Linked DNA regions of Drosophila melanogaster. Changing the gene in region 2 together with the main gene of any one other region gives a genetic interaction. Each region holds a gene or a part of one and is shown on either strand. Other genes may lie near its edges. The genes, in order: r and e(r).

Region 1 (16,146 bases), 7.7 Mb from region 2:
ACCTCCAGTAGTCCGTCAATCAATCATTCACTCGCTCACTAACCGGCGGCTTTCTCTCGGTTTTGCAGTTACCAAGGTGACCTCTGATGGGGAGCCGCACGGCATGATGACCATGGTGGCCGGATTATCCGGCCTTTTGGCGGCCATCATCATTTTGGCCGTCCTCGTGTCCATGGTATCTTGTCGCAAGCAGAAGAGGTAACAGCATACATACATACATATGCTTAGCCAATTATATAGATAATTGCATATAATATTCTGATTTTTGTCGTTTAAAAAAATGCAGCACCAACCGGAAGAGCAATTCCTCCGCCAATGTGGTGGCCATGACCAGTGTGGCGCAGGATCAGCCCCAGTTGGCCGGTAACTTGAACGCAGCGTTCGCTGAGAGCACTCTGACCTTGGACAAGGTCAAGCAGGACACAGAGGATCAATGGCGACCCACAGCCGTGGTGGTGGAGCGGTACTAGTGGAAGCAGGAAGCACCAAGCACCACCGTCAACCAGCGGCACATGGGCACGTGATGTTTATTGTAAACGTTTGAGACTGACACTTAGAATAAGGATTTCCATCACCATCTTATAATTAATCTATATAACATATGACACCTTATTTTTTTTTTTTTGCTTGTTAAAATATTATACTGCTATACTATGAAATATGTGAAAATATATATTTGTTAGAATTAAAGGGAAAACCGTAAAACTGTTTCACATTTTCCAGAGAAAGATATGATTTTTGCATGTTTTGGATGCAGATACAAGTATTATATGTTCATCCATAAAGACACAAACAATTAACCGAAATGGATCAAATATATTCGTATGCAGCTGCGTACATGTGTGGTATAAAAAAGATAGTATACAAAAATAATAGTAGAGAGTCAAAGATTGTGGGTTTTCCATGGGTAAATCCTCTAGAGCGCCGTATTGCGTCCACCAACGACCATGGCCAGCAAGGCCATACGGATGTACATGCCGTACTCCGCCTGCCGGAAGTAGGCGGCCCTTGGGTCCGAGTCGATCTCCCGGCTGATCTCGTTCAGACGCGGCAGCGGATGCAGAACAATCGAACGCTTCTTGGCCCGCATCATATGCTCGGGCGTCAACACCAGATGGCCACAGCACTGTCGAAGGAAAGCAGTGGGAATGAGCAAGTAGTATAGCAAGTAAAATTGAGACCCTTTTTACCTTCTCGTAATCTTCCACGTTATCAAAACGCTCGCGCTGAATGCGAGTCATGTAGAGCACATCCGTGTCGGGCAGCACATTCTTTAGGTCGCGTGCAAATAACTGCTTGACGCCGCGCTGATGGACGAACTGGACGACCTCATCGGGCATCTGCAGGCTATTCGGCGCCACATACTGCAGGTTCACATTGTACAGGGTCAGCAGGCGGGCCAGCGAGTGCACGGTCCGTCCGTTCTTCAAGTCGCCCACCATGGTGATGGTCAGCCCGTTCACAGTGCCAAACTCCTCGCGGATGGTGAAGATGTCCAGCAGCGCCTGCGTGGGATGCTCACCGACGCCATCGCCGGCATTGATAAGCGGCTTTCGGGAGAAGGTCGCTGCGCGCTGTTGGAAATAAAAAAAATTAAGTAGATAATGGATTCAATGGCATATAGAACACGGTTCCACGGACTTCTACTCACCGCTACAGCTCCGGGCGATGGATGACGGAGCACCACGACGTCGGCATAGCTGGACACAACCTTGATGCTGTCCTCCAGGCTCTCGCCCTTCTTCACCGACGACGTGATGTTGTCCATGCTGATCACTCGCCCTCCCAAACGCAGCATGGCAGCTGCAAAGCTGCACTGCGTCCGCGTGCTGACCTCGTAAAACACACTGGCCATGATCTTGCCTGGCAGCAGCTCGTCCACCGGACGATCCTTCGTACCCCGCAGCTTGAGCAGCTGTGCCAGGTTAAAGATGTCGTTGAGGTGATCTTTGTTGAACATGTCAACGGCAAGGATGTGCTTGCCCATTAGCGAGTGGGCCACCGGATTTGAGTTGGTAGTGCGCTGCAAGTATTCCCGCAGCGTGGTGTTGCTGGCGGAATCCAGACGGATGCGTGGGGATGGCGAGTTGGGGCGCAGGAAGTTGGCTCCGTCCACAAAGTGCACCTTGGTCGATATTCCATGTACGCCTCCACCGGGTCCTTCGGAGGTGAGGAGGCGGGTAAAGGTGTCATTGGCATCGTTGTCGCTGGGCAGCAGATCCTGTGATGCCTCCGACGCCAATGGACTCTGTTTGGGGCGCACATTCTGCCCGAAGCCGGGCTGCACCAACACTTGGCCATCGACGAAGGCCACCTCGCCGCGAAGAACCACCCGGTGGACGCGTCCCTTGACCTTGGTGCCCTCAAATGGTGTCCAGCCGGACTTGCTCTTCATCTCATTGCCCGTTATGGTCCACTCCTCGTCGAGATCCACCTCCACGTAGGTCTGCGCCTGATCCGGCAGGTTGAAGATGATTTTTGGATTGCGATGGAACTTCCTCTTGATGTCCTCCATCGTCAAACGACCCTCGTGAACAGCCTGCAGGAGGAGCGGCAGAATGGTCTCCACGCCCGGAAATCCAGGCGGTGGACGCTCCGAACGTTTCTCGGCCAGTGTGTGTGGCGCGTGATCGGTGGCAAATACATCGATGTAATCAATATTCTCCCACAGAGCCTCTTGATCCTCCGGTGAGCAGAGCAATGGCCTTACCTCGGACATTCCGTGACCCAAACGCTCCACATCCTTGGTGCTGAGGAACAAGTGATGGGGGCACACCTCGCAGGTCACCTTGACGCCCTTTTCCTTGGCGGAACGAATCAATTGGATCTCCTCCTTTCGCGCCACATGGCAGATGTGAACCGAACGGTCGAGAAGATGGGCCAGCATAATCACAGCCGCTGTGCTCTGCCTCTCCGCATGACAAACGATGGGAGACCGCTTGGGCCAGTGGCTGAGATGCCTCTGCCAGCTGGTCATGTCGCTCAGTTTTAGGGTGCCGAAAGTGTCGTTTAAGTACATCTTAAGGCCACACGCATGACTGGCCAGCTCGTTGACCTGCGCCCAATTGTCATCCGAGGCCCCCACATACAGGGCATAGTCGCATCGAGCTCCCGCTTTGGCCAGCTCCTGGAACTGGGTGAACGTCTCTCTGTCCACGATCGAGGGATTTGTATTGGGCATGGCGCACACGAGGGTCACGCCGCCAGCCAGAGCGGCTGCTGTTCCACTGGCAAAGTCCTCCTTGTGCGTGGCTCCCGGCTCCCGCAAATGCACATGCACATCGATGAAGCCCGGCAGCTTCACAATTCTACGCGAGGTCATACAATCCGTGTGCGTCTTCATTGGCGGCTTGCCACCGTTCATTCGCATTGATTCTACCAGAAGCTTGGTGCACTTCACATCGGTCACCAGCGGAATGGAGTAGTCCACGGCCAGGCGACGGGTGCGGTAGCCATGGGTCATGAACGAGGAGACCCTGGAATAGTATCAGGAAATCACATTTACTTGGAGATACATATGTACATATAATCAAAAGGCACTGCCTTAAAACTAACAACTATTAATTCTTCAACTAATTGCTCTAATTTTAAAAATAAGAGAATAGCTTGCGTAAAAACACACGGATAAACTGACATACGGACATGACAAGATATACTTTTTAGGTTTGGAACTGTCTTCAATTTTATAAAAAACACTAAAAATATATCGTTCGGATATCAGTTTTACTCCACACAAACGAAAATTCTTTGCACTCAGTTATAAGTACTTTGCACTCCAATTGGACTTTAAAGAAAATATAAATAACATTTAAGATGTCTGAGCCAGATAAGAAATGGAATTAAGACAAGCCCTTTTTATAACTTAATAACTTAAATTATATGCCAAATTGTTGTGCAAACTGTGTTCAAGGCCCAAAAATTCCAGTGACTAACATTTGTTTGAATATTGAATCATTAAGTCGTTAATACCCCTGAAAACAGAACTTTTATCAAAGTAGGTTAGCTATATAAATATGCATATCCGCTACAAGAAATATGTTATATATGTTTTATAGGTAAACACAATTAGAAAACAAATACTATTCGCACTTGCAGACTTCTTCCTGAAGTTCCATGGATCACCAACTTAGTGGCATATATATTTGGGGGCCATTAAAAAGAGTCACCATCGAATCGTACTCACCGCCTGGCACCCCCGCCGCTCATCGGGAGGTTGATGACCAGGTCGAACTGCTTGTTGGCCAGGAACTCGGCCAGGTGTCTCAGCTCACCGTTGATGTCATCGGGAGTCGTCTTGTCGAATGTCCACTGCACGGATTCCACCTGCAAGGGCAAAAGCACACATATATACAATATTTACTCGTACATAGACATAGATCATATACAATGGTATATATATATATATATATATATAGAGAATGCGACCGACCGATCATCACCAAGGCCACATGTCATCGTCATCCGCGCCACCAACTCTACTTCCAATCAATTGTTTGCCCAGAGTACACCATATAGATACCATTATTTATGGATCTTTCATGTCTACATCGAAGACAATAGAGCAACAGGCCATGGCAATGGCACAGTGGTGCAGATATGTACGATCTTACACAATAATTCCAAATAAATCGAACTTTGAACATTTGATATGTGAATAGTGGTAATAAGATATATTCAATCGAACTAAGAGTGCAATCAGAAGAAAATCTTAAGTTACTATTTTAAGATAAGAATTCAATAGATCAATTTTTATATTATATTTCCTTTGAAGACCATCTATTTTAGACGCCTCCTTGAGTTTTTTGTCTGTTTGTGCGGCACAGTGAAGTGGAAATCAATTCCGTTTTCATGGAAGCACCAGGAACTGGCTGATAATGGATAATTGGGCCGAAGGAGGTGGTGGCCGGAAGAGTCGTTCAGCTCTTATCTTTCCGATTGCCATTACTAGATCGCAGATCGCAGGTAATTGGTAATTGGTGATTGGTGAACTCCGATCGCAGATTGTACACTTTATCAGCCGGAATTCAGTCACAAATCAGCGATCGTCCGTTGAGTATGGGCTGCTCCTGGTCGCGATCCGAGCAGGTGGATTCCAGTGCCACGCCCAATGCCCTGCAGGCGGGCATTCCCGCCCAGCGCCAACAGAGGAGGCGGCGCCAAGAGGAGAAGCATCTCCGCCAGCTGCAGAAGCTCCAAAAGCGTAACGCGCGTAAACGTCGCCGAAAGAAGGGCGCAGGATCTGGATCTGCCAGCGCCGGAGGATCTTTCCTCGGTCGTGGTGGATCGATTCACAGACGACACATCAACGGAAAAAGCCATCCTGATCTCGCCCTGCAACTGCGTCTACTGGGCGGCAGCAATGGAAGCACGGCCACCGAATGTGTCAGTGCCCTGTATGCCAGAACATTGGAGCAGCAGCGCGAGGAGTTCCAGCGGACCGTGGAGCAGAGGACCCTACACCAATTGGACCGCGAACTGCACACCTTCCTGCTGAACCAATTGCTTCTGGGTATCCAGTTCTTTGGGCACTTCGAGGCCGAGATGGCCGTGGTCGATGCCCAAATCGTGGCCAGGCGACGCAACTGCTCCGCCGAAAAGCTGGCCGAGCACAGCTTGCTCCAAAGTAGCGCCATCGATGCAGCTGTCGCCAGGAACCTGCTCTTCAAGCCGCCGTAAGTCTTTTCCTTATCCTCTCTCCATACTTTCTAGATTTTTCTATACTTTTTTGCCTACATTTTATGATCTTCTCTTTTTTCATTTTAAAATTGGTTTTTAATATATGTATTTATAACCGATTTCAGATCTTCGAAGAGTCCACCACAGCTGCTGCAGAAACCCGTGACCTATGTGGTCTTTGAGAACGTTGACGTGGCGCGACCCCACGATGCCAACTACGACACCGTGGCGGCACTGTGCAAGGTGCTCCTGGAGACGGACTACTACCGGACCACGCCCTGCCCCTCGGAGCTAGTCAACTTGATGGAGATGACCAGGTGGATGGGCTATGTTCGCCTCAAGCTGCGCGACCAATTGCCGCATCCGCAGGCGGGCACGCCCACTAGCTCCAGCTTATCTTTGCCGGCCAGCAGCGATGAGGAATGCATCTACGGTGATGTGGGATCCTCCGCATCCAACTCCCCATCCTCGGGCTACAGTTCGGGGGACTACGATTATGTCTACTTGGCCAGGTTGAATACTCCGCGACCGCTGGAGGAGCTGCGATTTGATCGCGATTTCAATTTCCAGAGGAATGTCCTACCTGGGAATTGCATTCGCCGTTTGGCCAATTGTCTGCCTCCTTGGCTAGAGCAAACCGACGACGAGGAGTCATCCTCCGCCGCCTCCAGCAGTGACGAGGACGAGAAGGATGAGGCGAATTCCGATAATCGCAAATATCCACCGGCTGGCTATGAAACGGTGGAGGTGCTTCGCCAGTGTCATGTGGAGCAACTGCAGCAGTGCTACCTCAGTTCGCAGCAGTTCATGTTGTACTTTGGAGAGGTGCTGCGTCATCATTTGGCTAACCAATTGGGCATCAGCCAATCGCAGCTGGCCGCGTGTTCGTATCGCGGCTGTAGTGTATATACCGCTCGCGAGGAGCTGGTGCCCGCCATTCATGTGCCCAATTCCTGGCCGGATTGCGCCTTCGAGTTTTGGCTGAGGGCTCGTCCTCGTTTGACCAACCTCCATACTGCCGAACAATTCCAATGGCCAACGGAGCAGATGAAAAAACGTATTCGATCCATGGGCTTCCATGTTGTACCAGTGGGCTATGCACCAAAGCGTTCGCGAAATCCCTTCAGGGAACTGGAATGGCGCATTGTCTTTCCCCAGGCGGAACAGTTTCTCGAGCGGCACTGCCTGACGCCCATGCAATTGAAGGTGTTCCAACTAATGAAGCTGCTGGTCAAAACCTTTGTGGACGAATCAACCACATCCTGTGACCAATCCCCGGGAGCTTTGCTCGAACAGCTGAGAGCCCATATGTTTTGGCAATGTGAGCAGCACAGCAATGATTGGCCAGAGGAGTTTCTGGGCGAGCGATTGGTTCGATTCATTCGCTCCTTCGACGCCTGTTTGGCCAAGAAACACCTGAGCGACTACTTCATTGAGCGGCGCAATCTATTCGAGCATATCCCAGAGGATACGCTGATGAAGCTGCGCAGCATAATGGCCGGAATTGCGGAACAACCGCTGCTGCATGTCATCCAGGCACTGAGGAATCTTCAGCACGCGCCGGAATTCTACCCGCAACTGGAGTACAAGCGACTGTTGGAGAATCTCTTTAGCCAGGATTACCTGGAGCTGCACGGACGGGGCAAGTTCTCGCGTCCACGTCAGGGATTTCCCGCTCTGCAGAACTGTGAAGAAAACAATGGCGGGCAGCAGGTGGAAACGAAAAAAAAAACCGAAAGGACGGAGATCACCGATGCCAAGGGACTCTTGGGATTGGCTCAGCACCAGGAGCGCTCGAGAGGAAAGCTGCGCAGGAAGACACAGCTCTTAAGGGCCACGACTCAGCAATTTCAAATCTCGGCGACGGAACAAAGACGTTGCTCGCTCGACTCCCTGGATCGCCAATTGCTATTGGCACGCTCCAATCCGGAAAGTTCCAAGAGCCAGGAAGCAGCGAAACCGCAACTGAACAACGGCTTGGAGATCCTGCGAAGGAGCAATCTGATCGAACTTCTGCTGGATCATTCGCTGGCCATGTTGGCTCGTGCCATTCGGTTTGGCAACCGTGGACATGCACAGCTTTATCTGGAGCATGGGCAAAGATTGTGCCGCCTTTATCAGCACCTCGGTTGCTCGCAGCAGGCACAGCACTTCGTCCAGGAACTACAGAACGCAGCCAGCGATATGGAACGCATGTGTGAATCGCATATACCAACGTCATCGGGCGGCAGTCCCTCCACGGTGGTTGAATCTCCGCCAGCGCCAAGGAAATCCATCAAGTTCCAGGAGCATGTCGTGCAGATACACACTCCAGAACCGCTGGCCATGCAGAAGCATATGCCCCATCTGGAAAACCATCAGCTCAATGGGATTCTAAGAGCTCACCACCAAGAGGATGCGAACGCCATTGAACCCCTACAGGAGGAGGAGATCAAGAGCGCGTTGCTTCGGGAAATAGAAAGTCGCATAGAAGAAAAACCCAATGTCCAAAGAGATAGAGAACCAATAGATTCTCCTGAAGTGGATAGCCTTAAGCCGCAAACGGGAATCAAATCAAAATCGGAGGAAACAGCCAAGGAGGAATCATTTCTCTCGCTAAACGGAATCCTTCAAAGGCTCTCCCTCGACACGGATAAGGTGCAAATGCTGGGCAGCAAAACGGAGCAACTGGTCCAAAGAGTAGCCCCATCCGAGGCCAAGCGGGATGAACTCAAGGAGATCCTCAAGCGCAACGCACAGAAGCTCAAGGGCGCATTCAACTAGAGACACTAAAGATAATACTACCATATAGTAGCCAAATTGCTAAATCCCGGCGATTAGTGATATATTGATATATTGATAACAGATAAACCAGTTGTGATAAGGGCGGTTAGAGATAGAGATAGAAATATATATATAGTTATGGGCCATAATTATTGTCCATACCATGTGCGCCATATATATTTTCGTAATTAGTAATCTTGAAATCAACGTAATTTCTCTATGATAATAATGTTATTGAATTTGTAAACCAATGTCATGGAAAATAAATAATGCAATATAAACAACCGTTCAATTTGTAAACCAAGTCAGGGAAAACAAATAGTAGGAAATGAGTATTGAAACTACTCAACTTTGTTGACTCGCATCTCCAATGGATTTTGATTAAAGTTGCATGATATACAATAAGCACACAGACATAAATATACTCACATTAACTCCGTGTTCGGCATAAAAGTCGCCAGTGCCCATGGAAGCGTATAGCTTGTAACCCATCTTGGCCAGATCCCGTATGGAAGGCAGCAGCTCCATCTTGTGCTGCAGATGAATGGAGTTATTAATGGAGTAACTAATATCAATAATCAATGGAGTGGCCAACAAACCTTGAAACTGCCAATGGAGAGAAGTACGGCGTTCTTGGGTATCTGGAAGCCCGTGGACATCATGGCCTTGAGATACGCCTCATAGCGGTTGTCCCCGAAGCAGGCAACCTCACCGGTGGAGGCCATCTCGACGCCCAGCTGTACATCCGCGCCCGCGAGCCGCGAGAAACTGAACTGTGGCACCTTGACGCCCACCTTGCCGACGCCATGGAGCACATCCAGTGGCTCCACATCGAGTCCCACAATCGCACGCGTCGCCGTGGCCACAAAGTCGTGGTCCAGCGTCTTGGAGACGAAGGGGAAGGATCGCGACACACGGACATTGCATTCGATGACCTTCAGCTCGTTGTTCTTGGCAATTAGCTGCATGTTGAAGGGACCGGTGACATCCAGTACGCTGGCCAAATCGCATGTGATCCGTTTAATGGCCTCCAGGGTCTCCGCATTCAGATCCTGCGGTGGGGTAACCAGCGTGGCATCACCTGAATGCACTCCGGCATTCTCCACGTGCTCCGAAACAGCCATGCACAGGATGCGTCCATCGGATGCCACTGCATCCACATCGATCTCCTTGGCCTCGGTGAGGAACTTCGAAATGACAACCGGATGCTCGCGACTCACCTCGGAGGCGGCGTTCAGATATGTCTCCAGATCCTGATTGGAATAGGCCACATTCATGGCCGCACCGGAGAGCACATAGGATGGCCTAACCAGACAGGGATAGCCAACCTCCTCGCAAAATTCGATGGCCGACTGTAGGTTGGTCAGCTCCTTCCAGCGTGGCTGCAAGATACCCTTCCTGTCCAGCATGCGCGAGAATTTAAATCGATTTTCGGCACAGTCGATGGACTCCGGCGATGTGCCCAACACCTTCGCCTGCTGGCGATGCAGATCCATGGCTATATTGTTGGGCAGCTGGCCGCCCATGGACAGAATGATGCCCTCGCTATTCTCCATCTCGTAGATGTCCATGACCACCTCGAAGCTAATCTCCTCGAAATACAAGCGATCGCACATATCGTAGTCGGTGGAAACCGTTTCAGGATTGTAGTTAATCATGATGGTGGGTCGCTGTAGCTTCCTCAATTCGCGCAGGCAGCCCACGGCACACCAATCAAACTCCACTGAGGATCCGATACGATAGACGCCCGAGCCCACCACAATAGTGTGTCCGCCGGGGAAGTCCACATCGTGCTCGCTTCCGTTATATGTGTGGTACAGATAGTTGGTACTGGCGGGCCATTCGCCGGCCACCGTGTCGATCTGCTTGACATGCGGGCGGATGCCAAACTCCTGCCGCTGGTGACGAACAGCCAGCTCCGTGCTCTTAATGTACTTAGCTATCTGCTTGTCCGAAAAACCAAAACGCTTGGCCTTCAACAGCAGAGCGGCATCGGTTCGACTGCCATTACGGGTGAGCAGGGACTGCAGTAAGATGATCCTTTCCAGCTTTTCCAGAAACCAATAATCGATATTGGTTAGTTGATGCAGCTCCCTAAGGCTCATGCCCAATTGCAAAGCAGCGGCAATGACGAAGGGACGACGATCCGTCGGCTCCGAAAGCTGCTCGGCCAGCTGCTCCTTGTTAAGCGGAACCACATCCGGATCAAAGCCAAGCACATCGCTGTCCACCATGCGCAGGGCTTTTTGGAACGCTTCCTCGAAGTTGCGACCGATGGCCATCACCTCACCGACACTTTTCATCGAGCTGCCAATGTGCTTGCTAACCCGCACGAATTTGGCCAAATCCCAGCGTGGAATCTTGACCACACAGTAATCGAGGGATGGCTCAAAGCAGGCCGTCGTATTGCCCGTCACCGAGTTCTTGATATCTGGCAGGGGCAATCCCAAAGCCAACTTGGCGGCCACATAGGCCAGTGGATAGCCGGTGGCCTTGCTGGCCAACGCGGAGCTGCGCGACAGTCGGGCGTTCACCTCGATAATGTAGTACTGCTCCGAATGGGGACACAAGGCGTACTGAATGTTGCACTCGCCAACGACACCAAAGTGACGGATAACCTTCAGGGCGGTGCTGCGGAGCATTTGGTACTCGCGATCCGAGAGGGTCTGCGATGGGGCCACCACAATACTCTCGCCCGTGTGGATGCCCAGGGGATCGAAGTTCTCCATGTTGCATACGGTAATGCAGTTGTTGTAGGCATCGCGCACCACCTCGTACTCCACCTCCTTCCAACCCTTCAGGGATTTGTCCACAATTAGTTGGCTCGAGTGGGCCAGTGCCTGTTGGGCCAGGCTCTGCAGCTCCTCCTCGTTGTTGGCGAACCCGGAACCCAGTCCGCCCAGGGAGAAGGCAGCACGGGCCATCACCGGATAACCCAAGCGACTGGCCGCATCCAGTGCCTGGGCAACGGAGTACACAGCCTCAGATGGCGCCACCTGCTCGCCAATCTCGTTGACCCGCTCGGCAAAGAGCTTGCGATCCTCCGTCTCGATGATCGACTGGATGGGTGTGCCCAAAATGCGGACATTGTATTTGGAGAAAACTCCGGCTCGCTCCAGTTGCACGCCACAATTGAGAGCGGTCTGGCCGCCAAAGGTGAGCAGTACTCCGTTCGGACGCTCCGACTTAATCACCTGCTCAACATAGTGAGGTGTTAGGGGAAGGAAGTAGCACTTGTCGGCCATTCCCTTAGAGGTCTGAACGGTGGCTATGTTCGGATTGATGAGCACTGTTTGAATGTTTGATTCCCTCATGGCCTTGATGGCCTGCGATCCGGAGTAGTCAAACTCGCCAGCCTGACCAATGGACAGTCCACCGGATCCCAGGATTAGGACTTTGCGCGGCATCACTGGAGCCGAATCTATGGCAGGCGTAGTCGGACGCAGTCGCTGCTCGATCAGCTGCGGAATGGTCAAATCCTTCTGTTGAATGCTCTCCATAAAGACATCGAACAGGAACTCCGTGTCCTGCGGTCCAGCATGATGCTCCGGATGGAACTGAACCGAAAAGTAGGGCTTGCTGGCATGGACAATGCCCTCGTTGGTGCCGTCGTTGGCATTCACAAATAGCTCCGACCAGCCGTCGGGCAACTGCTCCAAATCGACCGCGTATCCGTGATTCTGCGACGTCATCAGGCAACGTCCAGTTGCTCGGTGCAGGCAGGGCAGATTGTGTCCTCGATTGCCGTACTTCATTTTGTAAGTAGAGCAGCCGATTGCCTTCGCTAACAGCTGGTGACCCAGACATATTCCAAAGACGGGCTTTTGACCCTCCTCAATCACTTTTCTCACCTAGAAACAAAAGATTAGTTAAATTAGCATTATATTCTATCCAAATGATTCAATTGTGACCCACCTGTTGGACGATCTGGTCGCAGCTCTCCGGATTACCAGGTCCGTTAGACAGAAAGAGGGCGTCGAACTGCTCATCCTCGAGACGAGCGCTCCAGGGGAGCAAGGTCACCGAGGCGCCACGTTGCAGCAGGCAGCGCAACTGGTTGAGCTTCAGTCCACAGTCCAGAATGGCGATCCGTGGTCCCTTGCCATTGGGATTACCGTACACTTGTCGCTCCTTAACGCTGCACTCCTTGGCCAAATTCCTGACGTTCGGATCTACGAAACTGGACTTGGGCAGCCCTTCGACCGGCGGTTTCTCGTAGACAATCTTGCCTAGCATGCTTCCCTGCTCCCTCAGTTTTTTGGTCAGGGCTCGAGTATCAATGTCTTGAATTCCGGGCACCTTGTGCTGCTTCAGCCAATCGGGCAGCGTCTTCCATTTGCGCCAGTGAAATGCCTCTTCAGCCACCTCGCCCACCACCAAGGCGGTGGCCTGGACGACGCCTTTCATCCACTCGAAGTGCAGCGGCAGTCCGTGCTCGTCCTCATCCGGCGCTGGTACCCCATAGTTACCGATCAGTGGATAGGTAAGCACCAGGATCTGACCACTGTACGATCGATCCGTGAGCGCCTCCGTGTAGCCAACCATGCCCGTTTGGAAGACCACCTCGCCACCAAAACCCACTTTGGATTCATTCTCCGAGGGAACGTAGCCAAAGGAGTACCCGGGCAACACTGTGCCATCCTCCAGTGCGAGGTAACAGTCCGTAGAGGCCATATTGGACGAGTTGCTGGGGAGGATTGGAAACCATAGGGTATTCTTTAGTACCTGTCACTCGAAAACCGTCTTAAATAAACGAGCAAAGTTAATTAATTAAAAGATCATATCTCTACGAAGGCAAGTAGACACAATATTGAGTCGAAAATCTGATAACAATATTCGGCGACTCTGGGAACTTTACTTAATGAGTATATGCTATGACTATGCTATATGTTTACGCAGAGCGCGTGCATACCCTCGATTTTAAATGTAATGTAATATAATTCCACAGGTTATCTTGTTCAAAAAACACATGTGTTTATAAACACACCGTCACACGCACACAGTTTGCCGGCCCAAGAAAATATACAAAGAATCCAATAGGAAGCCGCGATAGATGAATGTATGCATGTATTTAACTGTCTGGCAACATGTTGAGCGGGGCACAACACGGTTCTGATTGGGAATGGACACTGCTTATCAAGCGTTTCAAGTTCCTGTTGTCATTTGATATTGCCATTCACGGTTTGTTTACACGATGACTAGCGGCGGAGAAGAAAGAGGAAGAGCGAGTGTGAGAGGGTGCGTTTTGTGTGTGCGTAAGCACGTGTGAGAAGTTTGGATCCAATTGGAAACCGGTTCGGTCAGCAAATGAGAATAACAATAACATTGACTTTAACTTTGAATTGGACTTTGGGCAGGAATTGAGGATTAACCAACTGAGAATCCTTAAGCTACGATGCATTAGTATCGCCATCAAGTTATCCTTTTCCCATCTGCACCCGTTACAACTACAGCTCACTTACGATTCCGTGTACTTTCAAGCGAAGCTCTCTCTTTGCTGCACTTGTAGTTGTGAACACGTTTTGGTTTCGACTTTAATTCGATTGACAACTTGATTTGTTTACTTTGCGACACCGCTTTTAGAGCTGGTTAACTTCGCACTGCTCGGATATGTTTAGTTTGAGCATTTAACTGTGTTTGCTTGCAAATTGGCTCCAATTAACGTCTGGAAAATCAAAGTCGAACAACTGAATTCACCGCCTTGGTTGAATCGGAATCTTCGTGCATTATGTGCTAAAAAATGCCACAGCAAGAGCTTAGCTCGGCGGTGTGGAACTTTACTAGAAGTAATATTGCAGGTTGGGAACTTGGCAAGAACGTTATATATTCATTTATTGTTATGAATAAGATAAGATATTTGTAATAATATTAGCAAACATGTTTAAATGGGGTGTTCTGCAAAGTATTCCAAAGGAAATAAATAATCCACAATTAAATGGTTAGTCACAAATTTGAAATCACAACAGTGTAGTCACACACACACCTATCGATACATTTTTCTTACGTTACGATATACTGCCCGTCCCGTCGTGAGTGAGGACATAAACCAAAGCGGCGTTGCTTTTTCATTCGATTCCTTAAAGTAAAGTAAACATCAAAACATCAAGCATAAGCAAGTCAGCATTTAACAAGCGAACGTCCTGCGAGAGCAACAGACTGAAAGCGCACTGATTGATAAGATTAACGCCATTGCAACCGTTCATAATGCATTCGGCTGGACTACTGATGCTAACCGTGGCTGGATATTTCACATCGGGTATTCCTGGCAATACGGCTTCCTCGGACGTCGCCTACCTGACGCCGGGCACATACATCAATTTGTCGGAGAACATCTTGGGACTGCAGACTCTGCGCACGTTCTGCTATCCGGGTAAACGGCTGACGGTGTCAAGTCTCTTCGAGACTGTGGAGTTCGTCCTGGCCATCGGGAGCGATGATTATTCCCAGTACGGTGGGAAGACGCCGGAGGAGGTGTTGCAGCACTACAAGGACAAGCAATCGCTGTTCAGCATCACCCTGTTCGCGCAGAAGCGCCAGCTGCTGCAGCTCTCGCCCTTCGAGCAGCAGTGCATCGGGATTTCCTCCCGCCAGGCGTACACCGTCATTCTGAATAGCATTCCGCTGGATCTGTGGCGTCTCGCACAGTTCGCCGTCGGCATACTGATCCTCTTCAGCGCCCGGCGGCTAGCAAAGAACAGTGTGTTCTACTATCTGGTCGGCATTGTCATCGGCATATGCGCCTCCCTGCTGGTGGTCATCTATTTGGCCGCCAAACTCTTTCCGCGACGTACCATGATGTATGGCGTCCTAATTGGCGGCTGGACCATTGGCTTCTATGTGATCAAACAGCTGGCGGACAATCTGCGTTTGATTCTGATCACCTACCGCGACCATGTGCTGGGCTATCTGGTGATCACCGGACTGATCTCGTTCCTGGTGCGTAGTCACTTGATATTCCCTTTTGATTAGATAACCCCAGCTAATTGCCTCGATTATTCTACAGATCTGCTATCGCATTGGTCCGCCCAAGAATCCTCGATCGCAAACCATCGTCATGTGGGTGCTGCAGGCCATTGGCGCCGTTATGGCTTACTTCAGCAGCTGGCACACCAGCGCCGTGATCTTCATCATGGTGCTGGTCTTTGTGGCCCACTACTTCCCCATTTCGTGGACGAACCAGATCAAGTTCATGTATCGCCGCCGTTTTCCGCTAAAGAGGCGCATGCTCACCCAGGAGGAGTACGAACAGCAGACGGCCGTGGAGACCTCGAAATCGCTGGCGGACCTGCGCAAGTACGTCAACAGTCCGGAGTGCAAGCAGTGGGCGGTGATGGGCAAACTGCGTGATCCTTTGCGCTTCGCCTCGTTCGCCAATGGAGCACCGCATCTGGACGACGAAGAGATCGAGGACCACTCGCGCACCATCGAGGAGTCCATGGATGCGGCGCCCGAGGAGGAATCAGTGGAGGAACCTGAGGAGGATAAACCAGCGGAGTTACTGCCGCTGCCCAACTCGCAGTTCCGCTATCAACAGGCCGCCCGCAACTCGGAGCCGGAGCCGGAGTCGGAGTCCGATGACAGCGAGGAGGAGGAGTTCTTCGAGCAGGAGGTGGACCTTCGGCAAGTAGTACAATAACGGACGAACAGCTCAACCACAAGGGGAACCACTGATTAGGCTTAATTGAAACCATTGACCACCACGTTCTA
Region 2 (15,619 bases):
ATTTCTAAACACCCAGACTGAGCGAGTCAGCCAACATTCATTATTTCGACATTTTGGCCAAAGCAAAGCGAACCGCAAAACTTGAAACATTTCAATTTGCCAGCCCCGTTTTGTAGGCTATGAAATAATAAAAGGCCTTTCTTTTTTCTTTTTTTCTTTTTTTGGCCTATTAAACCGAAGTGTCTTGTCTGCTGTGGGAAAAGTGGGTTAAAGGTCAGAGTGCAGGGCCAACAGGTTATGATATTAAGCAATAAAATACCTAATGTGCATTTAAGGACTGTTGCCAAAGTTTGACAAATATATATTGAATATTTAATATATATATATATAGTGAATTGAATGCAAGCAAAAAGTGCTAATAAGTACAATTGATACTTTAATTAGGCTGAACAACTTCACATGGATGTTTGCATTACAAGAATGTGCAAATATTGTATATAAATTTCTGCCAATTATAATGTGCCATGTTTTGTATTTTTTCTTTTTAATTTCCCAACTATTTTGCCTTTGCTAATGATGACCTAACATGTTACCATGTTACTCCATCTCCTTGCATTTTGTAAACACCATTAGTTGGTGGAGCAGCAAACACAATGCGTGATTTCACTATGCCGCAAATCCAATTACGTTGTAGATTCATGCATTTTCCATTTCCCATTTCCCATTTGCCATTTGCCCATACGAGTAGCACATAATTCCAGGAAAGAAGCCCCCCAAAAAACCAAAAAAACTAAAGGCAACAACTAATCGAATTATGAGTGCAAACCCCACCAATGCGCAGTACTCACTAATCCAGCATTTCGATATCCTCGTCGCTGTCCTCCTCGCCATCGTCCTCCATTCGCTGCTCCTCATCGTCATAGAAGCGAGCTTCGTCGGCGGCATTGGTGCCACCAAAACGCTCCCTACTCCTTTCCCTTTCCCGCTCCCGCTCCCGCTCTCTTCCGCGATTTTGAATGCCATTGGTGGCATTGCGAGCACGCGATGCGGCCGGGGAATCGGAGGCACCGCGTCGATTACGGCGACTCCGGGTGGACAGACCCACGCCCTGCTCCAGTTCCTCCTCCTCCTCGTCGCTCTCGATCTCAATCTCGTCGAGATCCCGCTGACTGATGCTGCGCTCCGGCATTTCAACGATTTGTTTTTTCTTCTATTTTTTTTTTTTGTCGGCTTTCAATTTCAATACAAATCACTTGCAAAAAACAAAGAGATACCTGCTGCTCTGTACGGTTAATTCGATTTTTTGTCACACACACGAAATATAATTTTATTGTAGATTTGTTTGGCCAACCAAGAGTTAGACTTGCACCGAACGCACTCGAAACTGCAATTGGCGATGAAAGCGCGCTGCTTTCTCAGCGATTGGCAATTGGCACAGAAGTCGAAAGACTCGATGGGGCTTCACATCGCGAGACCTTAGCCAGTGGTGCTGGCCACGTCTCCAAATGGCTAATTCAATTAGGGTTTGTGCGGAATCGAAGCGACGCAAAGTGGCGCATCAATCCCAATGCCCTCTAATATATATATATATATTTTTAATATGAAAGTGATTGTATCTTAACATCACAGGGTGAAGAAATATTCTTAAGAACTACCAAACACGATAACAAAAGAAGTGAAGTAGAGCACTCTAGTAATTGCATATCTTTTAAATAAGTGCGTAAAAGTATGCAGCAGAAAAGTAATTCATTGTATTTAATATGCCTACAAGTATGCCACAAAAGGAATAGGAGTAACATTCATTGGTATTTAAATATTATTGCTTATATTAATTTCACCTTAATTAATTTTCACCTTGTTAAAAACTGAACGTAAAACCGGCTAGCTCTTTCAAGTGGAAACTAACACGGTACCACTGCGACGGTCACTCCAAGAACATTTGTTCTATCCACATTTGTGCCTTCGCAGAGCAGCAAATAATGCTGAAATGGGTCAGCGATTTTCGGGGGCGACATTGTGACGATAGGAAGGAAGCCATTCGCACGTGCTGCTCACCTTTTGGTAAATCGAATGGTAAGGAGGGGGGGTTGGGGCATTGGTGGTCAGTGTTGAATTTGCCACGTCGACGGGAAACGCCTTACTCAATTGAGGTAATCAAGTGCTCGTATTACCTAAATTGTGATTAAAACTATTGCCTGTGATTTGGCCATTCGATGCTGTGATTGCTTATTGCTGGCTATTGGCTTTTCAACGTTGTTATTTTATTGATTTTCAAAGCTAACTCGTTTTGTATCCTATAAAAAATTATAAGTTAACAATTATTGGCTTAGCTGCTTGGCTGCGTTTCCGCAAAATGCCCCCCCAAATGCGCCGTTTTTGTGCCATCTTTCCCATTTTGTTTTTCACACAGCTCATAAAACCATAAAATAAAAAAAAAAAACAAAAACGAAACAATATTTTAAATGAGCTAAGCTCGCAACGAGCGCGATTTAATGAGCCATTTCAATGCCGCGCAGCCTGTGGAATTGTTTCCCAATCCAAAACATTTTTTATGCATTTATCCGAACATTTGTTTTTAATAATGTTGTAAAATAAACAAAGCGAAAAATACGTAAAGGTTTTTGTTTTTTTTTTTTTTTTTTTGCATATGCGACGCAAAACATTTTGTTTTAAAACCCGGGCGTAAACATTTTTTACACAAATTATCAAATTATTATAATTCATTTAAGTGGAACAAATATGTATATCTTCATTGTTTGTAAATACATGCAGTTTTAAAAGCTATCGAAATAATAAATTTCACAATATCATACTAATTTTTTTTATATATATAAATCTGCCAGCAAGACAAAGTGCCAGGCGAATAATTAAGTCTCTGATTAGCTCAACTTGCAGTGCATTAAAAAAAAAAGACCTAAAATTCTGTTTCTCGACTTGCAATAAATCTTTCACTTTCACAAAAGTTGCAATAAAAGAAAAAATAAAAAAATAAAAACAGGGGTCAAAGCTGGCAATTATTTAAGTGCACCTTAATTGAAGTCGTTGCACTAACGATAATTTGAAAATTGAGTAAGCAAAAAATAGAAATAAAACAAACAAACAAAAACCAGAAACGTGTGTTTGCTGATGAATTGCTTTTCGCGGAGCATGTGGACGACGGTCATTGCCAAGGGCGTGATACTTTTGCCGGCAACTGTGACGAAAACAGCGGCAATTAAAAAATAAAAGGAAAAATACGAAATATTTATGTATTGTACATACGTATATAAAAAAAAAACCAAAAAAAAGGTGTCAACTCAGACAACCTTCAATGGCACACAATAAAAATCGGCGACCAAAGAAACCAGAAAACAATTGGCCAAAAAAAAAACCAAGCGGAAGAAACGAGAAAATCAAATTCAATCTCAATGGCAACGAATTTGTGATGCTCTTTAAAATGAATGGTATAAATACATGTGTTCTTTAACGTATATTATTACCTTATTAATAACTAGAATATTAACTCTATTTATCTGTCAGTTAGCAATTTGTAGTTCGCAGAAAAAAAACTCTCAAAAACCTATTGCTAAATGCTCTAAACCTTTAAAAAAAAACCCAACATTTTCGCACTAAAAAAAACTTTAAAACTTTAATGTACACTGATTCCTATCAGTTGAATGCCCGTTTCGTTATAAAGTTTTTTTTTTATGTTGGGCCAAAAGGCAACGACCAAGTCGACGAGTTTTTTTTCGAGGCGGCAAATTCGTAATGCAGAATAAATAACGCATAAATACAAATCCACGATAACAGCCAAATGCGGTAGCACGACAAAATAAAACAATAATCATAGCCCAGTAGAAATGCGAAACAATTACGCCAAATGTGGAGAAACCAAAAAACGAGCAAGAAAAAAAAACAGTCGTAAAACGTAGCAGCAAAAAAAAAACAACAGAACTAGAACTCTGTAGACTAACAGATACTCCTTGTTCTGTTCAACCTGGCTGGTTTGTAAGAATACAAATTTTTTTGGATTTTTTTGTGTAACAAAACTTGCAAAAAGAGCACAAAATTTAAACAAAATTACCAAATTTAAAACCAAATCGTTTGGCATTTAAAAAACAAGTTTAAGTTTCATTTCATTATTTCGAGTGCTCAAAATACTGATTATTTTTTACACAAAAAATAGGGAAAACAATTTTTGGCCAAAATTCATATTTACGATTGGTTTTTTCTGTATAACTTGGCTTAAAATTGGCAGAGAGCCAAAAGAACTACCGTTTTTTACTCCTAATTGACAATACTAACTATCCATATCCGTTTTTTACGGACTTTGTAAAATTAATTTTTGACCAAAATTTCGCATTTTTTGTAAGGGGTAACATCATAAAAAATGAAAAAAATTGAAAAAATTTACATTTCCAACTTTTGAATACAGTTCGATTAAAAATTTAAATACAAACTCAGCGATGTATGGCATTCCATAATCAGACAAATATTTTTCAAGTTGTGGCCAAAAAAATAGATATTTTATGACAAAAAATAGTAAAAACGGGTTTTGTCAAAAATTGAAATATTTTTGATTGGCATTTTAATCATAACTTGGCTAAAAATGATCATAAAGCTGAAAGAATAACTGTTTTGGGCAGCTAATTACCAATGCCAAACAGCCCTATCACTTTTTGACGTATTTGAAAAAATTAATTTTTTAAGAAATTTTCGCATTTTTTGTAAGGGGTAACATCATCAAAATTTGGAAAAAAATTGAAAAAATTAAAATTCCAATTTTTGAACACAGTTTAATTGGAAATTTAATTACGAGCTCAACGAGGTATGACATTCCATATTAAAAGCAATTAAACCAATGGAATTGTACAGATATACAGATTTAAGAATGATTGTTTAAAACATGAGTGCTGTTTAACTGTCATTATAAATATGAAACTATCTGGTTGTTAAAAAATTTATATTTCTCATCCGGGTAGTGGGAAATTAGCGACGCACCTTAAAACAAATAACAATACGCCTACAAAGTCGTTTATAATAGATACACAGCTTTTGCACACTTTTGACGATAAAAACGATGATGTTTCAAACACATCAGGGGCGCCCACGTTCTTATCAGTTGAGAATGTTCTTTACTTATCGGCGCCGTAAAGCAAACACTTTTCAAAAACGAGCGTTAAACAAGACAAATTATTACAGATGCTTAGATGCGATAATTGTAACCTAATTGTGATTAATTGTAACTAAATGATTAAAATTAAAATAAAAATCACAGTTTGAATGCACAAAATTGAAATAAAGTCGATTTCTCCATTTACAAAAACTTGATATCTCCATTTGGAAATTCTAATTGGTTTGCTCTCCTGCCTTTTCTGCTTCCACTCTCTCTCTCACTTCCAATTGGAATTGGGGACTAACGAAATGGAATCAAGTTCAAGGCCACGATCGATTGATTGCCATCTCTGTCGCACTTGTTGGATGTGACTCACCTGCTGATTGGAATGAAGCTGCGCTGCTCCTCCTCTGCCGGCGTTGCCTCCTCATCGACGTTGGCAGAGGCAGCGACCTCTGACGTCACGGGGCGGTAAATCAAAGGCTTCACGTTGCGTTCGAAATCGTCGAGGAAAACGACATCGTGGACGGGAATAATGCGGTGATCGGTGACGTTGAAGTGGAGATCGCGAAAGGGGCCGTTGAAGAGGCAGCGCAACGGTGACGTCACCAGCACAGCATCTTCCGGAGGTAACTGTAAAAAATGTACAATATTTGTTGTATTTTAACGTATATCAAACATTTACTGATATAGTTTTATATTAAATCAAATACACCGCAACAAATCTCGTGCAAACATCAGATAAGATATTGATACGATACGATAATTAGTATAATATTTAAACAATGCGCAGTCAGGAGAAATATAGAATGGCTTATCAATTTTAAAATAAAACTAACGGAAACAGTAATATTGTACATATTTCAGTTTCAACTCAAAGCATAAGTTTCTCTGTAGCCAAGACACCATTTGGTAAGTTAAGAAAACTATTAAGTGGACGTTTTTTTTTTTACCTTGATTTTGCCATTGGTCGCCGAGAACATTGAGATTTCGAGATTTCAGCGATAAGAGATGAGCAACAACACAAATCAAATAGAATGCACAAGAAACACAGATACAACACCCACACATGAATGATCGTGCAACGGTGTGCGCAGAACAGTGAAGAGGAAGCAGAGAGACGAAGCAGAGGCGACAAATTGGACACGCGTGCGTCGCGTTGGTTGGATTTTGTGTTTTCTTATTTGACTATTGCCTTTTCGGTGCTACTTTAACGGGTTTCCCCGTTTCACAGCCTTTATCATCTTATTTTCGCAGGGCTTTTTTGCTTTTCAATTTACTGCCTGGGTTTCATTTAACTTCGCTGCTCTTCTACTTCATTCATTATTTGATTTGTTTACGTTGCTATTTCCCAATTTGTTTGCTTCTTTTCACTTCATTTTCTTTCAATTAGGACGCACACAAACACACAGGAAAAAACAAAAAAAAAAAAAGAGAGACACGAACGCCACTTGCACAATTGAAAATAACAACAAATTAATGGGAACGCGCGAAACACGGGCTGCTGCGGCTGCGCCTTCACTTTTCACTAAAACAAAAAGCACGTAAATAATGTTGAGACGAGATTTTGCTTTTTGTTGTTGATTTCTTTGCCGATCGCTCTGCCGCCGCTCGACTGCGCTGCCCGCGACACCGCGCTCTTCCAATTGGTCCAATTGAGATCAAACAGCTGGTGGGCACTCGGATCTTCGATTGCCGCTGTCTGGCAGCACTGGGAACAGTGAGAACAGTGGCCAGACTGCGGAGCTGGCGATGGGCGATAGTTTTGTTTCATTAAAAGTAACTTTTGACTTTATATTAAATACAATACTAAAAAATGTAAAAATATGCTTTTTAATATGCACTTTAAGTGAAAATGATTGTACATTAAGTTTACTTCATAAAGACTTTAATGACCATAATTTGTTGATGGGCGTTAATTTTATTCTAACTTAAATAAACGTAATACCTAATATTTATATGTAATAACAAAATAAAATGAACCTAAATAAATAATGCAATCCACTTTAATTTGACATTATAATTATAATTTTTTTATAAATATATAAAATAAAAATAATAAATAAATAATTTCCGTAGTTATTGTAATGTATTACTATGATGAGTATATGTTAAAAGCTTTAGTTAATTTTATTTAAAAAATCTGAAGACTAAATATGGAATGAATTACGCCAAATGAAATGAAAATATGCATTGAAAAACATGCTTTATACCTAAAGGCGTAATATACATAAAGTGTGCTTTTCAATAAAAAAGTGAATGAACATAATATGGAATCAAATACATATACAAATTGAAATGCAAGTATACATTGATACAATTAAGTATAAAAAATCACAATTGTCATTTAATTTGGTAAATATTATTAAACAATGTATATCAAATAAAAGATGTTAGTATTAATCGATATCTTTCGATTATTTTGTCACGGCGAGGCACGCAGCGAAGCGCTCATCTCTAGCTTCAGCCTCCTCTTCAAAACCCATAGAACTGGCAAAATAAAAAAAAACGAATCAAGCGCTGATTTTACCGAATCTCTTTACTGAATCAGCATATTATCATAGTCCATATAGTCCGGCGTTCGAACGGGTAAGTTGAACACTAAACGGGAGACATGGGAATTATTTAAAATTCGAGAAAAATCGGTGAAAAGGAAGAAAAACAAGTGATTGCATACAGTTAGTTACACACACGCGGCGGCCGTTACTCCTTGTACATGTGTGTGCGTGTCTGTTCGCGCTTCCGAATGTTTGTGTTTTAGTGAAGCGGCATAAGCGTGCATTATCTTGTACAAATGTACGCATTTCTCCATTGCCAACATTCGCTTCACACACAAATTACTCGTTTTCCATGCTGGAAGTGCCATCTTAGTCTATTTCCCAGTTGCAAATTGGAAAATCAAAGAGCGTTCTGCTGGCCAGCATGTGTGGTGCGCGTGTATTGGTGTTGCGGCGAGAGCGCGAGCGAGATGGGGCGATGCGTTGCATGCGGCAACAGCATATCTCTTCCATCTCTTTCGTTTTTGTTCTTTTCCTTTTTTTTTTGTCTTTTTTTTTTTTGCTGACAGCTCTCTATGCTTCTAATAAATATTTATGCACAATTTTTGCAGAGCTGGCGAAGTAAACTTCAACTTCGAGAGTCTCGGAATCTTTCGGACTTTGCTATAGAAAAAACGCTTGTTAAAAAAAAGGATGTAAGTGATGAAGATGAAACGTAATGTAATGAAACGCACACTAGTAACATACATACATACATATCGCTTGAGTACATAGATCACCGCCAATAACATTAATGTTCCATTTTTGCCTTGCAGATCACCATGTCGCACACCATCCTATTGGTACAGCCGGGTGCTCGTCCGGAGACCCGCACTTACTGTGACTACGAGAGCGTCAACGAGTGCATGGAGGGCGTGTGCAAGATCTACGAGGAGCACCTGAAGCGCCGCAATCCAAACACTCCGACCATTACGTATGACATTAGCCAGCTATTCGATTTCATCGACACAATGGTGGACATTAGCTGCATGGTTTACCAGAAGAGCACCAATACCTATGCGCCCTACAATAAGGATTGGATCAAGGAGAAGATCTATGTGCTGCTCCGTCAGGCGGCATTTAGTTCCAATACCTAAAGGGACGGCGATGCGACAAGATACATACATATAAAACCAAATAACACGATGATGCATGCATCAATGCGTGCAACACTAACGACAACAACACGTTGATGTATGCAACAATGCGTGCAATAGCAACTACAACAACAACAACAATACGAGGATACATGCAACAGCGCTTGGAACAGCATCCGCAACGGCCACAACACCATAACACCAATAACACCAACAAGATGAGGAAGAAGAAGAAGATGATGATGGAGTGGTGGGGCATCGATTCCATTGGAGACTTGCTGCTACCGACTAGATCGCCAAATGACAGCAACTTTTTTTTGCAACATAACGCAATGCAAAAAAGGAAAAGGAACACAAAGAGAACGATAAACTGTATAACTTAGAAATGGAAAACTTACTTTAAACGTACTAATATATATATATATATATAAATATATATATAGGCGTATATATATATATATACTGTATATACACCCAACTGACAACTGTGTGTGTTTTTGTGTGTTTCAATGTTTTTTTGTGCGGCAGCCACAGGTGACGGTTGTTCTTATCGATAGCGAACTGTATGTTTGTTTGTTTGTAAAACCGAATGGCAAATTTGCAAGTGTGCATTTTTTTTTTGTATGTTTTGCCGTGTGTGCTAGCTTAAGTCTTTGCAATCTATCGAATAATAAACTAACACATCAGGACACACTGAGCATATATAAACATATTTGTAAACTACTGATTCCCCCCCCCCCCCTTTATCATTTGAACTTAGTTAAACAACAACTTTTAGCCCGCTGATTTTGCACACCGATGGGCTTTGTGGCGTTTTAACGGCTTGTTTTAAGCAAAACAGAACCTTTGGTCGCAGATGCGAAATGACCTTGAGATGCTGGTTGTTGTGTGTGTGGTGAGGGGGGAGGGGTAGGGGTTTGTGGGTTGTACCCCCGCCAGATATTCAATCGGATAACGAACTTGGACCGCCGCTGAATCGCTTGGCCGCACTGCATTGAACTTGGCGTGCGATATTTAATTAGCTCCGCGACAGCATTTTGTTAAATATATATATATATATATATATATATGTATATATGCACATTTAGTGTCGACTTGTGGATGCTGCTTACTAGCGTTAACTAGCAATAAACATAGTGTTTATAGTTTACCCATTATATTTGCTGAATATTAATGATCACTAGATTTCTCATTATTCAGACAAATATATTTGTTTGTGAAAAAAGCATTTGCTACAGCAAACTGTACAGTTTATTACAAAAATATGTATATATATTTTCAAAAAAAAAAAAAAAAGAATTTCTCCTATTTAAAGTAGTTTGCTTGCCACGCAACTCCGCGCTTTTTACAGGGTATGCAATAGCGCTACAGCTGCGTCGAATATGGTGCATAGTTTTTTTTTTTAGAATATTTTTCAAAACTGGTTTTAAACACTGCATTGTCGCCACACCGCCCCGCACCGCCCACTTTCAATGTCAGTTAGCCAGCCTCGCTTTTTGGCCAGAAAGCAAAGCGAATGGGATGCAGATGAAGTGCATCCTGCATGAGATGCATTTTTCGGTCATATAGTGTTGCACTTGTCTAGTTTTGTTTTTTTTTCTTTCTTTTTTATGTAAAATACTATTCTTAACCGGCTAAACAATAAGCGTTAACAGCTAAGTGGATTGAGCATGGGGGGGGGGGAGAAATATATATTGTGGACCTGGCTAATGGCGCATCTGCCGCTGTGCCTCCTTCTCCACCTCATACTCGTACTCCAGCTGCAGTTTGGGCTTCGAGCGGCTGCGTCGACTGTTGCCCGCCGGCGATTTCTTGTCCTTCTTCGCTTTGCTGGCGGTTTTCTTGGCTGGCACTTTGGTCTCCTGTTAGAATGCAATTGTTCGTTTTAAGTTCGGTTTGGCAATTGGAATTTAGTTTTGTTTCGTTTTAGTTTTCTTTTTTTTGGCAATTTTCTGGAGCTGTTAGTTAGCGCGCACTGAATGGAAACCGACGCAACTGAATGAAAAGCGGCGAACGGCGCTCGGAAAGCTTTATTCTCCAAGCTCCAAGCGGGCAGAACTCGTTTGCTATTTCTAATTATGGTAATTTCGGAAGAAGGTGGCAGGATTTAAGCAATTGCCAACTATTTACATACTCAGAATTTTCAATATTAAAAGAAATTCATTGAAAAAGGATTTGGAAATCGTTAAATGCTCCAGAAAACTGCCAACAAAATAAAAAAGAAAAGCCTGATACATGACCAGAAACACTACCTCAATATCATCTGCATCCGCATCGTCATCCTCGTCGGACTCCTCGAAATCGCTGCCCACCTCGACCTCTTCCCGCTTGCCGGAATCGCTGTCGTAGTCGTCCTCGTCATCATCATCATCATCATCATCATCCTCCTCCTCATCGTCCGTATCTGCCTCGACGAACTCCTCGTCGAGCAGGGATCTCTGTACTTCCTCAGCTTCGCGTGAATCGTCGCCGTCCACCTCCATTTCGCGCTCCAGCTGCTCCTCATTCTCGTCTTCGTCGTCTAGCTCCTCCTCATCATCCTCGTCCACGCGTTCCGCCTCCAGAGCCTTGTTGAAAGCGGTCTGCGAAAAGTTGTAGATGTCGCGATAGGTGCCATTCTTCAGACGATCCATCAGCGCCTTCTCGATGTGATTGTCGATCTTGGCGGCCACCAAGGCCTTCTCCTCGCGCCGCGCCTCCCGCCGTTCGATCTTCGTCGATAGCGGCACAATGAGCTTCTGGCGGCGCAACTTCAGACGACGCATTCGTATCAGATATTGGGTGATCTTGAGGAAACGCTGCTTATTCTTGGCGATCATGTATTTGGGCCAGAAAACCAAATTCTCGTTGATCTGTTCGATGGCCTTCTCGAAGTTTCTGGACAACTTGATCCTCTCCCACAATTTGCTCGGCATATGCGCTCTCTCCGCCGTCTTGATGAACAAATAGATGATGCCCTTCTCCTCGCGAACGGTGGCATATTGTGAATTGGCCAGCGGACACGTTCTGCGTGTGCACAGACCCGTGAGATTGTACTCATGGCGGCAGAAGGTGCGTGTGTCGGTTCTGTGTGATTTAGATTGCCATTGAATACATAAATTTTCTACATAATTATAATTAACTGCATTTCAACTCACTTCACTTTGTGCGAACAGAAGGACTTGTTGATGATGCTCCAGACCACCTGGCAAATTGATAATAATCTGATTAGGACACCAACAAATGTGCATATTCATACACCTGCTACTCACATCGTCGTGCTGCATGGCGCCGTTTTGTTATTAACGAAATGCCTTCAATGATAAAAAACAACCAACTTACTTTGAAACACGTGCAAATTCAACACACAATATTGCGCTATCGATAGCCGTGTGCCGCCGGTTGGCATTATCGATAGCACCGATGACAGTTGCAATCGCCAGCGTGGCCAGATGGCAATGAATTCAAATTTCTTATATTCCAATTCCCAATTTATATTGAGAAAGAAAAAAAAAACGCACTTTTGTGTGTTAATAGCTTATAAAATTAGAGCAAGTTCTTTATTAGCAGTAATGTATTACGTGTCTTCATCCATCTGGCAAATGAAATACAATTTGGTATCACAATTAAATTCGGACATATATTGGGGATCCACCGCAACGCAGGATTTGCTGTGATTGGTTTTATAACTATGTCTTTGGAATATCGTTGATTGCTTTCCAGAAGCCAGGGATACGAACTTCTTGGTTTTCAAATCATTTATACCCGTCCAGTACCACCAGAACTTCAATCTTGCCTGAATGGTCTTAAGTTCCTCTTCGTTCTTAAAAGCTGCCAAAAAACCGCCGAATTCGCGACATGCAGCTGCCGCATCAGCCCAGGAAATTTCCACATTATTTTCTATATAGAATGATCGCTTGCCAATTAACGCAAACTTCTGTGGCAGAGGCTCCACTGTAGTACTGGAATACATTTCTAACAGACTTTCGATTTTGTTGCTGGATATTTGAAAACGGGATTGCGTTCTATTGCGAAACGCTTCCTGTTGGGCATTTTTTTTGCTGTGCAATTTCATTTGCTGGCTGGATAAATCCGTTTCTTTGTGTGAAATCGATAAGATTCTGTCCAATTTGGAATTGATTTCACTCATTAAATCAATCATAGAAAGCTGATTGGCTAGACAGGTTTCTTTTTTATGCAGTGGCTTGCCCAAGGATCCTCGCAAAACCAGGACGATCAATAACACAAAATATGAAAGCTTCATCATTTTAAGCACACACTGAAGAAAAACTTAAAAATAATAAATTTTTTTAGTGAAAAATTATTATTATTTTACTCTGCGTTGTCGCATCGATCAAATCTGAAATAGTTCTAAAGAATTCCGATGTATTCTGCTCGAAATACGTAAAAACTCTTGATTCATTGGAAAAATATCTGATAACGAATGTGAGAAAATACCCATGAATAAGTTAAATTTACATACTCATGATTAAGTTGTATTTATATGTGTGAGAAGATATTCTTACTGATAATCTTACAGTTTCCAAAGCTGGTTTATAATAATGCGAATGTACAATTGTAAAATTGTAACAATCAAATGAAATATTTTAAAAATCACAACAGTGTGGCCACCCTTGGGTAGTCGCCAAAAAACAGCTGATTATAAAAACGGCATATAATGAGCAGAAATAAAAAAACAAAAATTAAGTAAATATAGCAAATTAAATCCTTTAACTTCAAAACAAAAGCATAAATTTAAAATATATAAACAGTAATGCCGTTAGCTCGACGATCTGGCAGCCCTGCGGACAGCCGGCACAACAGCTGATTAGAGGGAGACAGCACGAGGCTGCTGGTGCACAAAATTCGACTCTTATTTATATATTTTTATTTTCGCAATAGAAGGCGCAGCAAAGGCGGCAACAGTGGGCGGGGCAAGTAAGCGCTGGCGGAAAACTCGACAAAGGAAAATTCAGCACACAGTTTGCGTCCGATCAAAGTGAGAAACGTGAGCCAGCAGCAAGATGACGAGTCGCCAGCGAACTGTGATCATATTCAAATCGGAATCGGAAAGCAGCGATGTGTACGCAGAAACGCTGGAGAAGCACGATTTCAATCCCGTCTTTGTGCCCACGCTGAGTTTCGGCTTCAAGAATCTCGATGAGCTGCGCGCCAAGCTTCAGAATCCGGATAAATATGCCGGCATCATATTCACATCGCCGCGCTGCGTGGAGGCCGTGGCTGAATCCCTCAATCTCGGCGAGCTACCCGGCGGTTGGAAGATGTTGCATAACTATGCCGTCGGCGAGGTGACCCACAATCTGGCGCTAAGCACCTTGGACCAGCTATTCACCCACGGCAAACAGACGGGCAATGCCCGGGCATTGGGCGACTATATAGTGGATACGTTCGATGGATCGCGTGCATTGCCGCTACTATTGCCATGCGGTAATCTGGCCACCGATACGCTGCTATCCAAGCTGGCCGAGAATGGCTTCTCCGTGGATGCGTGCGAAGTGTACGAGACGCGCTGTCATCCCGAATTGGGCGCCAATGTGGAGAGGGCATTGGAGATTTATGGCGAGTCGATTGAATTTCTTGCCTTCTTCTCGCCATCGGGCGTCAATTGTGCACAGCAGTACTTCACCAGCCGTCAGCTATCGATGGACAAATGGAAGCTGGTGGCCATCGGGCCGAGCACTAGGCGTGCCCTCGAATCGCTGGGCCAAAAGGTTTACTGCACCGCCGAGCGGCCGACGGTGGAGCATCTGGTCAAGGTGCTGCTCAATCCGCAGGACAGTCGGGAGCGGTTGCTCAAGGAGCGCGAACGGATGGCCGCCATCGAGAATAACAATTAATCCTAAGATTTCTTAAGCTTTCGCAGCTCCAACGGCTAATCTCCACAAATCATCATCGGATCTATCATTTATATGGATACAAATCCAAGTGGGGAGTTCTTATGGCCTGAATCTTTATAGTTATCCACAAGTAACTATGATGAACACAATCTGTAATTTCTATTTTATAAAATAAGATTTTCCATCATCGCATTGGTAGTAACAATTTTGAATAAGTTATGTAGAAAATTTCGAGCTTTGGTTGTGATTCGATTCGATTGATTAGTTATCTTTATAATTTCGAATACCTGTACAAGTTTTTCTCTATCGATTTGAAATCCAAGGATGGGTAATTAGTTTCCTGATCGAAACGTAAAAAAAAAGACTAAAACTCATGGTTTTTTTTTTTGTTTTTCTTTTTTTTTTATTTCGATTGACCTCCGAGCGAGTACAAAATTAGCGGCATGAAATGCCGACGTCTTTATTTTCTGTTTACTATTGGATTAAGCTGAATAAATTGTTTCTTTTCTAAATTTAGTTGGTCGTCTTTGTGGGTCAAATAGCAAATAGGAGGTGGCAACGAAGTGGAGTAGAATTAAGCAATTACAATTAAATTTAAACAATTTGCTTTGGAGTTTTCACTTGATTCTATTATTGGGGTAACTTTTTAATTTTTTTGTAATAACTTTAAAATAAATCATAAAGAGCACTTTTTTGTTTTCCAGAATTATTATTTTTAAATAATTTGTTTTTTTATATATTAATATAAATCTACACAAAGAAAAAGGAATGAAAGGTTTTTTCAAATTTAATTATAAATCGGCTTTTGAATTTATGCAAACAGTGGCAACGCCTGGCTTGAAGATTTACACGGCGCTGCCAGATCGATCATTTGCGAAGCGGCAACCTTCCACGCGATAGTATCGATTAAGGTTCCATCTCCTTTTGTTTTTCGTTTTGGCTCTTTTTTTTGCGTTTATTTGATTTTTCCTTTCGTTTGCGAAGCAACAGGAAAACAAAGAAAGCTCACGAAAAACACGCGGCAATTGGATAAGAAACGAAATGTAAGTGGAAACCAAAATAAAACTACGAAATTCCAAGACATAAGATAAAAGCGCAACAAGCCCACACACA

Evidence for each region.
Region 1: of e(r) (region 2) and r, changing one enhances a phenotype caused by changing the other (phenotypic enhancement), as found in Drosophila melanogaster (3 studies listed by BioGRID).

What each region holds. Positions count from the first base shown.
Region 1 is NC_004354.4:16,653,365-16,669,510, reverse strand, and holds r (rudimentary), read right to left. Parts: upstream 14,153-16,146; 5' UTR 13,902-14,152; intron 13,421-13,901; exon of another isoform or gene 13,352-13,420; intron 13,127-13,351; 5' UTR 13,114-13,126; coding exon 12,355-13,113; intron 12,291-12,354; coding exon 9,039-12,290; intron 8,974-9,038; coding exon 8,869-8,973; intron 8,614-8,868; exon of another isoform or gene 8,440-8,613; coding exon of another isoform or gene 5,802-8,439; intron 5,673-5,801; coding exon of another isoform or gene 5,056-5,672; intron 4,324-5,055; coding exon 4,184-4,323; intron 3,477-4,183; coding exon 1,652-3,476; intron 1,575-1,651; coding exon 1,191-1,574; intron 1,127-1,190; coding exon 917-1,126; 3' UTR 799-916; downstream 1-798. Other genes in the region: CG13012 (uncharacterized protein), read left to right, coding at 69-198, 287-470; CG15865 (uncharacterized protein), read left to right, coding at 5,056-5,672, 5,802-8,439; Nemp (nuclear envelope integral membrane protein), read left to right, coding at 14,644-15,375, 15,443-16,075. UniProt on the Drosophila melanogaster protein: Multifunctional protein that encodes the first 3 enzymatic activities of the de novo pyrimidine pathway: carbamoylphosphate synthetase (CPSase; EC 6.3.5.5), aspartate transcarbamylase (ATCase; EC 2.1.3.2) and dihydroorotase (DHOase; EC 3.5.2.3).
Region 2 is NC_004354.4:8,898,114-8,913,732, reverse strand, and holds e(r) (enhancer of rudimentary), read left to right. Parts: upstream 1-7,484; 5' UTR 7,485-7,624; intron 7,625-7,742; exon of another isoform or gene 7,743-7,964; intron 7,965-8,144; exon of another isoform or gene 8,145-8,228; intron 8,229-8,348; 5' UTR 8,349-8,354; coding exon 8,355-8,669; 3' UTR 8,670-9,589; downstream 9,590-15,619. Other genes in the region: Rbm13 (RNA-binding motif protein 13), read right to left, coding at 10,376-10,531, 10,922-11,735, 11,807-11,853, 11,921-11,935; Uros1 (uroporphyrinogen III synthase 1), read left to right, coding at 13,673-14,506.